Drosophila melanogaster: one gene and its partner. Changing the gene in region 2 together with the main gene of any one other region gives a genetic interaction. Each region holds a gene or a part of one and is shown on either strand. Other genes may lie near its edges.

Region 1 (7,578 bases), about 18 Mb from region 2:
TAATTCAAAACGTTTATTTGCTAACCAGGAGTATATCTGATAATGTCCACCATAGCTCTTTAATTCTAAGCCTCGTAGAATTGTAGAAGTCAAATTAAAATCTTACTCCCGAATCTCCCATATTTTGGTGCTATATGGTATGAATCATTTAGACAAACAAGGTATGGTTTGCTTTTCACATTTTTTTAGTGTCGTTCTTACAAGTCAGTTAAATAATCATATTGATGGTAAGCTATATCGGCTTACTGGCTCAATTCGTACATGATGTGGGAGAGCACTCCGCTAGCCTCCACATTGCTAAAGGCGACATTGGCCAAGCGTGACTCATAGCGTTTCAGGCTTCTCTTGGCCGTAGCCGAGTAGGTGACCAGGTTGCGTATAATGAGCGCCGCTGTCAGACGGATGCTCTTGGTGACTGGACCCTCATTTTCGTCCATCAGCTCTTTAGCGTTCGTGTAATCAGTCGTGTGTCGGTTCATAGCTTGCATTGCGGCGCTGCCAACGACTGGAACCGCTGAAGCAGGACCCGAAGGTGAACCAGTAGCGCCTCCCGCCAATCGTTGGGCATGACCCTCGTTGCGCACTATGGTCACGGGAGCCTGGGTGGGCGCCACATTGTGAATCCCAGTTGCCAGGCGACGTTGCACACTGGCGCGCAAGTTCTCCGTTGTCAGGTGCCGGTCAATCAGATGCGTCATCAATGAGTACCGTTTGCGCGCTCTGTTGTCGCAGAAGTTGGGTCCGCTGCCCCACTGACAATAAATGTCGGCATCAGAATCAAGGTGATCTGGACAGTGGACACTGCACACGTGGTACTGCAGCTCGTTAAGAGACTTGAATTTCTTGCGGGGACAGTTCCGCCAGTCGCAGATGTACAACCAATTTGCATCCACGGGCATGGGAGAGGGCGTGGGGTTGGCATTCGGGCCAGAAGCAGCGTAGACGCTCTGACTGACAACCAAAGAACTGCTGCTGGGACCTGTAGTTACGACAGCAGGTGGGACAACCGTCTGTGCTACTACCTCTGATTCCGCTGGCTTGGCCTCGCTGGTTGCTAAGACAACTGTTTTGCCGCCTTCCGTTGAATCACTAGTTCCTGACGTCGTTACCACAACAGCCTGGGTGACTGATGGCTTGGGGCTAGATACTTGAGCAGGTTGTGGCGGCGCCGGCTTTTTTGCTAGGAGAGTTACAGTTGGTGAAACTGGAACGGGTGCTATTTTCGGTTTGGTCGCTTCGGAAATCTAAAATAATATATTAAAATATTTGTTTTAGTCATCTTAGCACAATTCTTATTACCATACACCTGTTGGCTATTTAGAAAAGAGATCCTGTAAAACCCGCCACTCAAGTAGTGAAAACGCGATGGAAACATTTAAAAATGGGGAATGTGAATGTGATGCGATTTATGGGATTTAGAACGGGCATGGGCATATTATGAAATCAAATTTTAAGCTGTTTACATACTTTTCAATGACCCTTGTATATATACTTAAAAAAAAATAATAATTCTTTAATTTCGGCCCCAGTTCCCAACTTACTGCCGGCATGGTTATCTTCTGTTGGATGATGGATGGATGATGCTGCTGCTGCTGGTCCAACACAGATCGAATGTGATGTTGCTGCTGAAGAGCCACGCCTCCTACGATAGCCGTGCTGGTAGGTGACTGAGTGATGATCGTCTGCGAGTTAAGCTGGCTTTGCTGCAGGGGAGCCGGTGTGGCCGACGTCTGGGTAATTAGCGTGGTCTCCTTGATTCCGCCCAGAATTACCTGCCTCTTTTCCCCACCAACCGTACCGCCAACTGTGGAAGTAGGAGTGGAGGGGCCCGAGATTATGTGTTGCTGGATGATAGACTGATGTTGCTGGAGCTGAGGAATGGGCAATGAAGCGCCCGGCTTTGCGGCAACTAATCGCTGCTGGGGTGCTAATTGCGGCGAAACGAGCTGCGGCTGTGGTTGGGGCTGATGAAGCTTTATAGTAGCCGGGATCTGGTTCAACTGCGACAGCAGTGAAGGCGACATTTGGCCAGCACCCAACGCCGGAACTGGTCGCTGGGGTGCGATAAAGATTTGCTGCTGGGGGGTAGAAGTACGCGGTTGGGCCAGTTGTGGAGCTGTGGTGGTGGTAACCAGGACCTGCTGGCCCTGCGCCGTTGTCATTATCATTTTCTGAGTGCCAGCCACGTTCGCCGCAGAGACTCCTCCTGGCTGCTGCAGGATTATTATGGTCTTCGTTTGTTGTTGTGGTGTTTGCGTCACCAGCAGAGTGGGTGGTGCCGACTGCGTGGATGTCGGAATAGTCGGCTGCTGGGCCACAAGATACGTCTGGCCTTGCTGGTTGGTGGCCAGAACATATTGCGTCTGCGGAGCTGGCGTGGAATCCATTGCAGTCTTGGGCTGCAGGATCACTGGCACAGTTTGCAAGCCCTGATCCGTCTTTATGGTGGCCGTGGTGGCAAGTTTTAGTTGGGAATGCGGAGCTGGAGAAACCACATTGCTACCGGGGAAAACAAGTTGACGTTGGGTTGGTTGCACTTTAGCCGGAATGAGTTGAAGCTGCTGTGCCTGTTGCGGGTGCTGCTGGCTTTGCTCCTGGCTTGGTTTGGCCAGCGGTGGAACGTCATCCATATCCTCATCCTCCAAAATAGATGCCGCCAGATCCGCATAGAGATTGGCTGCATTCTTCGAGGGAGTCACCTGCGCTTCTTCCTTGCCGCCAGAAGATGAGCTGCTGGAACTGCTGGCAGCGGCATCTAAAGCCAGACGCTTATTCTGCTCCTCGTCAATGGTTAATTTTCGTTTGGCAGCTGCTGATGCAATGATGAGAGTGCGCCCGCTGGCGTCTTTCGTCACTACGTTTGCACCACTCAATGGAGCGAGAGGTGGCGGGGCCGAATCAGTGATTGGCTTCTTTTCGATGGCCATCTGGGGGTGCAACGGCTTAATGGTAGTCTGACCCACCTTCACCGGTGTGTGCTGCATTAGCGGGTTGTTCACGAAGGCGCTTATAGCTGTTGAGGTTACCTTGATGGGCTGGGTAGCATTTGTGCCCGATGCCGTGGTAGCCACAAGGGCTGGCGGCTGCGGCGTCTGAGCTTGGGCCTTCTGCTTCTGTTGGCGTTCAGTTACCTTGTTGGCCAACAAGCTTTTGATGAGCGAGGAGCTTGGGGGTGGCGTGACTGCAGAAGAAACGCTTTCCTCAGACGCCACTTCCGTTTGAACAGGATCACTAAATGGTTGCTTGGGCAATATTGGCGTGTCCTTTTTAACAGGAACAATGCTGGGGGTGGGTCTCTGTTGCATGGCTAGCGGCTGAGCTCGCATCCTAATGCCTACGTAGTACGTCCCAGGTAGCTCTATTCCGTCCAGGTGCCGTACAATTACTGGTCCCACCGATTGATTAAATATAAGCCGCACTAGACGAGGAAACTGCATGTGATTAACCACTGAAAGCTTACCCGCCTTCTGGCAATGCGATAAATATATTCTGTATAGTTCCGCTTGTTCCACACGGAGATCGTTACCGTTCCCAGCCCGTTCATACGTGGCTCCCAGCCAAGCCAGCGCATACTGTTCGTCCTCGTGTGTAAAACTCTGGGAGGCGGAGGGCAGACTGGGAAGGGTCACGGTGGCAGCGATTGGTGGCAATTGTACCTGCGGCAGACTGGGTACAGGCAATTGAACCTGTGGCAGACTGGGCATTGGCAGACCGGGGAGAGCTGTAACCAAGGGTGTTTGCTCTCCGTGAGGCAGCACTTGCGTCTGGGCGGGTGTAGGCGTGGGTAAAACTGCTGGCGGTTTAACAGCTACTTGCAGCGATGTTGGAAGTGTAGTCAGGGAAGTGGGACCTGGAGCAAGAATGGCGGGCATGTTCTGAGCCAGCGAGGCAGCCATGTTTCCGGGGAAAACCTCTACGACACGCATTAATATGCAACCGCCTGTGCCATATGACTGAGCCTCCACTGTGATAAGGGTCACCAGCTGGTCTATTAGGCCACGTACTTGCATCAGCATCGAACATGGCCGAGCGCCAAGAGCACTTAGTGCGTAAACTGCCTCCAGCGTAAAGATAATCATCATGACGTCGGTAAGCGAGAGGAGCAACATGGCTCGCTGGTAAAAGTCCAGGCCAAGGCAACGATTGATGTGCTGCGAATTGCCTTCTCGTCCGCACAACTTATAGAGTATCTCCAGACAGCTCATGATCACCGCGCGGTCGTTAGAGTCAATACCCTCGCAGAGAGTAGCTAAAAGATTCCGCGATAGCTCGTCAGTGGTGGGGTCTAGCAGCTCAAATTGTTGAGCCAGGTTGCCAGCGGTCTCGAGGGCCTGGATGTGAATGTTGCCTAGAACGAGCGAAACGTGTTTCAGTTATTTTATTTTAAATTGATTCTTTCGGGATTGCTATGCTACGCAATAGTCAATTTCCTTGCAGTGTATTTATGATAGCACCTTGATACTTCGTACATTCAAAGCGCCAAAAAATATAATTTCTAAGCAGATAAAAAAAACTTACTCCATCGTACGTTTGCTCCCATGACCAAATATCGCCACAACGTGCGGTTGGAGGCCAAGAGTGCATGATTCTCCTGATGAAAGCTGAGTGTACGGACTAGCTGGACAATCTGAAGCACTCGCTGGCCCATGCGCTCATCAGTCCCGTTGCTCCGGCGCAGATTAAGGAAGTGCAACTCGTCGCAGGCCGCCAGCAGTTCACTTCGAGCGGCAGAGTTCTCACCGTCCTCCTTACTTATCAGACCGTTGTCCAGCCAGGCCTGCTCATCCGTGTAGAGCTCTAGGACCTGTGGCTTGTCGTGTAGCAGGTCGCGCCAGAAACTGAGCTGCGAATGGTGTCGAACCTCGGTGTAACTGTGCTGGAACAGCTGGCGCATGGTGAAGTCAGCGTAGACTCCCAGGTGAGCAAGCAGCACATCAAGCAGTTTGGGGCACTCGGACAGCTGTAGGGTGTGGCGCGCCTCGTTGGCCATAAGTGTGCACACGTTTATGGCGAAGTCCTGCTCATTGGGCAGCGGAGAAAGCAGAGACAACAGCAGCTTCTCGTAGCTGCTGTGTCGGTGCAACTGCGTGGACATCTTGTACTGTCGGCGTCGTTCCACATTAACAGAGTGCTGGCGCTGGTTGTAGGCCATTGGCACCGCCGGCAACGTAGAGTGTGCTGATCCAAAAATGCTTCCTAGGCCACCACCGGCGCCAGCCAAAAAACGAGATCGCGAGCGTCCACCGCCCATTTCTACAATCTCAATAGCCGCCTCCAGAGCCTCCATCTTGTCTGGATCCTCGCCAAAGAAGTTCAACCGTTCGTACTTGTCCAGGTAGCGTCTGTAGATGTGCTTGATACTAGCCGTTCCGTTAACGCAGCGCTCCCGCAATGTCTCCATGGCGCTGTACACCTCGTCCCACTCGTCCCGCATGGTCACCTTATTAAAGCCGCCTCGTTCGGTTACCTCGTTGTACAGCTTGTACAGGTCGACATGCTTACCGCTGATCCTGGCGGGCTGTGTCAATGGAGTGCTGTTTGGGCAGAGGGAAAGTGGGTTAGGTCGTCTCCAAATACAGGAGAGCCGCGGCAACTCACCCGCGTCGTTCGTGAAACTGCTGCAGGTCCCTCCAGAACTCCTCCGGAGGTGACGGCGGCATCTCCTCGACCTTCTCCGGCATGATCTGTAATTGGGCGGGATTCTTGGCGCGAAGGGGAGTCGCTGGGGCCGCAATCTTGCCCGGCGTCTGTAGATCGCCCGGCTGAGTGGCGCTGTTTACGGCGGCAGCAGGCAGCGACTGAAGCAGCACCCGTACGTTGTCGATGGTGGTGGCGCTCATGATTGGATCTTTTTGTGTGGTGGCGTGAATGGGAAACACTTAACACATGATATTCTAATAGTAAGACACGCAGATGCTAATTAAAATTATTTAAAAAACTCAACAAAAATTACAACGCGACGCTGACGCGCTACAGCAGAGTTGCATTCACGAGCAGGGCTGTCAGCAATTGGACCGTATATCGATATGAGGTATCGATGTCTTTCAATATTGGATTTGATTTAACTTTCTTTTATTTACTGTCTTCTTTGAAGACATTTGTTATTTCATAACTCAAAAATCAGCATCCAATCTACATTGGCTAAACAATGAAACGTAATCTGTTCTTAATTCCTTCAGAATTTACGGTTTGTTGTTCACAGTTGAAACATCTCTATCTCTCTCTCTCTCTCTTGCTGATCGAAATCTTTAGAGAACTAGTCAGCTGGCAGTTTGCTTCAGTTTTGAGCTGAATAATGTGATGAAACTGAACTCTCCATTACATGTAGTAACTCTTATTCAAACCAACTAAGCATTTGAGTCCAAAATTCATTACAGCCCAGAAATTTGGAAGAAAACACCGTTATGAGTAGGGTTTTACCAGTTTACTATTATCGAATACTTACAATCGATTGATTTGGCTACACTGTGCACACATGTGCGCTGGAACAAACTTCGTAGTTGGGTAACATTAAAGTTGGGCAAAACATTAAAACAACAAGATGTCTGTACGAGCGATGGGAGTGCTGGGCCAGGCGTGCCGCCTCGGTCGCTGTGCCCAAGTGTTGAGGCAGAGTCACCGATCCGCCCCAGCAGCGTTCAATATCACCATTGGATCGCAGCATTCGCCGGGTGGTAAGCACTGAATATAAGCAACCGGCTCCCCGGAGGGATTCTTATGTTTACATAACACTCATCTTTTCACTTGCAGCTCTCTCGCTCCGTCGCTACTCCACGGAGACCAAGCAGGCATCAGGATCAGTGGTGGACAAGCATGAGTTCCAGGCAGAGACGCGCCAGCTACTTGACATTGTGGCTCGTTCCTTATACTCCGACCACGAGGTCTTTGTGCGCGAGCTTATTTCGAATGCAAGCGATGCGCTGGAGAAATTTCGGTACACCTCGTTGAGCGCTGGAGGCGAGAATCTGGCTGGAAAGGACCGGCCTCTGGAGATTCGTATCACCACCGACAAGCCACTGATGCAGCTAATCATCCAGGACACGGGCATCGGCATGACCAAGGAGGAGCTGGTCAGCAACCTGGGCACCATTGCACGCAGCGGCTCGAAGAAGTTCCTGGAGCAGATGAAGGGGACCCAGCAGGGAGCCAGCTCGGAGGCATCCTCGAACATTATTGGTCAGTTCGGCGTGGGCTTTTACTCTTCCTTCATTGTCGCCAATAAGGTGGAGGTGTTCACGAGGGCGGCTGTGCCTAATGCACCCGGACTGCGTTGGTCCACGGATGGCAGTGGAACCTACGAGATCGAAGAGGTGCCTGACGTTGAGTTGGGAACGCGAATCGTGCTTCATTTAAAGACCGATTGCCGTGAATATGCGGACGAGGAGAGGATCAAGGCGGTAATCAAGAAATACAGCAACTTTGTGGGCTCACCCATCTTGCTTAACGGAAAGCAGGCCAATGAGATCAAGCCTCTGTGGCTTCTTGAGCCACAAAGCATCAGCAAGGAGCAGCACCATGACTTCTATCGGTTCATTAGCAATAGCTTCGATGTCCCGCGCTTCACCTTACACTATAATG
Region 2 (4,815 bases):
TTAAGTATTAGAAATGTTCAGCTGGGGAGAATTCCGCGGAAAGTGCGATGGCAAAAACTACAGCATGTTGCAGTTGTTCCCAGCTGGCCAGAAGCCTCCAAGAGAAGCCAAGAGTTCTCCTCCAGACAGGCTGACGATTGCCTAGAAAGACAGCCGCACTGGAGCCAGCGGACTCCTACTGCCGGTGGAGGAGAAAACGGCGGAGAAAGAGGGCCTGGATGGCTGCAGACGCTGAAGAGCCCAGCCTGCAGCCAACTAACCAATTAGTAAGCGCTGCACAGAACGCGTCTACAATTGTGAGAACCTCAGACCAGGCTTGCAGGCCAACAAGTCAACAAGCCAAGAAGCCAACAGCCAGCAGGCCGTGTGAGTATGATGAAATGTCAGCAGGACCAGAAGCTGCATCGAAATGCACTCGGAGAAATACTTAGCAAACAACTAAAACCAAATTACACAATAAAAAAGTGTCACAGAGCTAGAGATGCATATGTCATATGACCCATCTGTAAACCTAATCCATATAAAATACGGAATTATTAGGAATGCGTGGGGATCATCAAACTTCATCTTTATTTATTGTTCTTTCTTTTCGCAGTCTTGGGGAAATGGGAATACAAGTGGAAGGCATCATTCAGATTCAAGTGACCCAAGTGGCATCCGTTTTCCCGTAGTGTCCAGAAGACCTGGTGCCCGCTGCGTGGATCGATCCTTATATGATCCGCTGGCAGCGGCAAACGTTCTATTTTGACAGTCATTATGATTAATTTAAATCATTAGGCAGCCCGGGCAGGTAGACAAACCATCGAGCTCCTATATTCCATCTAATTAAATGCGAGAGGAGCGGAGCTGCAGTTGGCTGTGGTCCTGGTCCTGGTGCTTGATCGGAGTCGACCTCGGAGTCGGAGTCGTGGAGCTGGACACGGGACCTGGACTGGCTTATTCGCGGAAGAGACAAGCTGGCGACAACGACACCGATGGCTGGAAAAGGCAACGATGACCATTTGCAGCTGGGGAATGCATCATCTTCGATCGCGGATCGGGGCGCAGTGAGTGTATCGATTTATCTGCGCTTACTATATACATATCTGCTGCTATCTGCTAGTCGCTGCACGTGGCCATGCCCACTCCGCCCCTTTGCCCATTCCGCGAACCTCTATTTAAGGACATGGCGAAATACTCGTGCTCCTGTGTACAAGTGGGCCCACCACGCAAATCCTCTAGAGCATTCTGACCATATTGGCGGGGCTAAGAAATTCCTGGCATAGTTTAAGTGTATCGCTTTTTGTTGCTGCGCCCGGGCACTCAAGATGCCCGCAAAGCTCAGCCTGCGAAATGTCGCAAAAGAAATTACAAAATCAGCAATAAGAAAATCAGAAAATCACAAAATCAGAAGATCACAAATTAACTAAATTAACAGCGCTGATAAGGCGAAACGCCACGTATGTAATTACCGAACTCAACCACGAGTTTTCAAGGGGAGGAGCCAATGAGCCACCCAGCCATATGAATCCCAAATCCACGATCTATGTGTGCGCATGCGCAGCGAATGGGTATGCATATGGGGGCGTGGCCATCTAATTAATTAAGCCATAAAGCCAGCAAAATGAACGACGGCAGCAGGAAGACGCCGAACGGGGGTGGGGATTGGGTCGGGGAATGGGGGATTGGGGTTTGTTTTTATGTACTCCGTACTCTTCGCGTTCGAAATCGAAGAGAGCGCGGCGCTCTTAGGAAAAGAGGAAACCGGTTCGCCCAAGTTTGGAATATCGAGCGAACATCGTTGGTGGAAATACGCTGAAGTTTATTAGGTATTTGCACGCCATCTGAAGAACAACGAACGCCAGCTATCGATCGCAAGTTTAGCCCGTCGAATCGTTTCGAATTCGTATTTGGAATGAACCACAATAAAATCGCCACAAATAAAGTAAACAGTCCAAACAAGTGCCTAGCGACAAATAAGCAAACCAACTGCAACGCATACGGAACAAACAAAAACACAAATATTTCCCATAACTGCACTAAATCTACGAAGTCGAAACAAAGTTAGGCGTATTTTTTTTACCAGAAACACTTAAACAATTTTTACAAAAAACGGATATTAATGCAATCAGTTCGAGACAAGCAGACAGCAAGCGGAAGACTTAAGGAGATAACAACTTATAGAGGCCATAATCAAAGGAATAAAGCACCATCAGCCAGCGATGAGAAGGAACGTCTTCAATGATAAACCTTCGAAAACTTTTAGAAAATAGCAAACATCCCAATAAACCACAACAATTATAAAACGCGAGAAAGGATTTGGTAAATCATCTAAAACCAGTTCAACAAACAACACATATAGTAAACATTAAATATTAAATCACAAGTTTTAGAAGGCAAACAAAGATAAAAACTCTTAACACCAGTTAAATAAAATATACTAAAAGAACTGCAACCAAAAAATAACATACAATTAAATGAAATTAAAAGCCATAAAGAAACTTAAAGCCATTGGAAACAAGCCATAAAAGCGGTCCAGAACCTAAATATTAAACACAAACCAAAATTCAAATTCCGCGCCAAACGACCACACTGCGCAACACACGAGCGCTGCATCCCTGGACTTCAGCCGCATTCCAACACTGCAGGACTGTCAGCTGTCAGTTTTCCTGTGTGTGTGCGCGCGTAAGTGTGTGCGTGCACTTAAGAAACTTAAATTCGCGTTCTTGGCCAAAAAAAACCCGGGTTTTTAATAAGTTATAGCGTTTTCCTCGACTGAGAACTTGGCCCCCAGGCAGACGGGCACAAAAACCGCCCCAGAAACGCGCCCGCCGCCGCCAAAAAGGCCGAAAACGCCAGCGAAACGCGCGCGTTGAGTGTTTTCTGTGTGGTTTTATTTTTGGAATATAAAGCGATCTGATCTGAAAAGTGTGCCGCGGCCGGATTCTAGATATTCAGATTCCCAGCACCCGAAACCCAAACGCAATAATAGACGCGCGCGGTGCCTTGGATCTCTACGGCTCCACGGTGGAGAACTTTTACCTCAGAATGGATCCGACGCGAGGTGACTCGCGGTACAATCTCAACTACTCGATGAGTAGCATAGGGCTGAGCCTGGCGGATCCGGCGGACATGTACGGCAACCCGGCCCTGGGGGCGGGCCGCCCGCCCTCCGGTGGCCTGCTCCAGAACATGGGCGGCGTTCCGCCGATGCAGCGCCCCAATCCCGCGGCAGGAGCACCCCCTGCCCCGCAGTGCCAAACGCTCCACAGCCCACAGCACGCCTCCCAGCAGCAGCAGCAGCAACAACAGCAGCAGCAGCAACACCAGCAGCAGCAACAACAGCAGCAGCAGCATCCCCAGCAGCAACGCGGCCTTAAGCGCTCCGGCAGCGACTGCTACGAGGATCACCACCGCTCGTCCGGCGGACTCACCCTCCAAGGACTGGACAACGTGGCCAGCGGAGCCGTCGACGACAGCGTAGACAACTACAACCCGCTGCCCAACAAGAAGTCTCCGCCTGCCAACGGCAAAAAGACAAAGGGACGTGTCAAAATCAAAATGGAATACATCGACAATAAGCTGCGTCGCTACACGACCTTCTCCAAGCGCAAGACGGGCATAATGAAGAAGGTAAGATCGCTGGAGCACCCCTACGCCATCCCCATCCCCAACGATATTTTCAACCCAACCCCGAAACCGAAATCGATCCCCATCCCAATCCCCATTCCAGCCACGATTGGCGCTGCAATTGGGATGTTGACATCGGGCCACGTTTCCAGCGCATGTGCAATTAATAAATGCTTCAGGGATTCAGTTGCGACGGAATCCAGCAGTTCCCCCACATCTCTGGCATTGTTCTGCCTCCGGAAAGAGCGAGGATTTATTGTCAATTGGCCATCGGCACAGTGGTCGGGATAGCTGGCGCACAATAGGAGAACCATCTCGGAATATCAAGTACCCAATGGATATATCCAACAGTTAGACCATTTGTGTACATTACTCGTCAGTTCAAATATTCAAATCTTTCTCTTGTGTCCATTACCAATTATTAGTTCCACTTGGAAGTATGTTTATTGGACCAATACAAATTCTGCTTGGAAATTGCTTATAGGCCACCTTATGTTGGGATCCCAAACCTAATGCTAAACAATTTGATTTAAGACTCAAAAACCCGAACCACTGTGCCCGCGAAGTACCTCTGCTCATCTCTAGAACAGTAGCCGCAGATCCTCTGCTTTTGGCCAGATCGCGTCTGTTTGGCCAACTGTTGGCCGCTTTGGCGGCGTTGTGTAAGCGCGGTAGCCCACGATTCCGCGTTGCCTTTGTTTTCGGCTTCATAAAATGTTAATTTGCCGCCGCAATTGCATTCAAAGGAGGCTCCTGCCCACGGAGCACTCCTCCCCCGAAACAATTGATGCGTGCTCCTTGTGGATGGTGGCCCACAAGTCGCTGCAACTGGCAACGTTGCCTTGGCATTTTCAAATGACCAATTTTCACACGCAAACTTACATAATGCCACTGCATTAGCTCCTGCTGCTTTCCATCGATCTGGGGGCCGTATATGAAATTTTTCACATTTCTGAAATAGACTTCCCTGGCCACTAGCTGAACCAAGCCCCGATCAAAATCAGACAAAAAGCATCAACATCGCGGCGCTAAATCACGATCTCAGCACGATCTTTGCCCAAGACACAAAATCTTATGAAATATTTGACCCAAGCAGACCAAAAACAAAGACGTTGGAGCACTTAAATTTAAAAGGGGAGATTTGGGAAAACGTTTAGCTTGTTGTACGCTAGAATGGCAATAAAATGTCAAGTATAAACTAAATGT

The links. Genes that interact genetically often act in the same process or in processes that back each other up.
Region 1: of bs (region 2) and Bap170, changing one enhances a phenotype caused by changing the other (phenotypic enhancement), as found in Drosophila melanogaster (one study listed by BioGRID).

What each region holds. Positions count from the first base shown.
Region 1 is NT_033778.4:6,634,951-6,642,528, reverse strand, and holds Bap170 (brahma associated protein 170kD), read right to left. Parts: upstream 6,018-7,578; 5' UTR 5,841-6,017; coding exon 5,599-5,840; intron 5,535-5,598; coding exon 4,519-5,534; intron 4,349-4,518; coding exon 1,542-4,348; intron 1,245-1,541; coding exon 243-1,244; 3' UTR 171-242; downstream 1-170. Other genes in the region: Trap1, read left to right, coding at 6,542-6,674, 6,751-7,578.
Region 2 is NT_033778.4:24,341,063-24,345,877, forward strand, and holds the start of bs (blistered), read left to right. Parts: upstream 1-1,798; 5' UTR 1,799-3,027; coding exon 3,028-3,612; intron 3,613-4,815. UniProt on the Drosophila melanogaster protein: Required for the formation of intervein tissue of the wing. Acts in a dosage-dependent manner to suppress wing vein formation and promote development of intervein cells. Might play a role in the proper formation and maintenance of the trachea.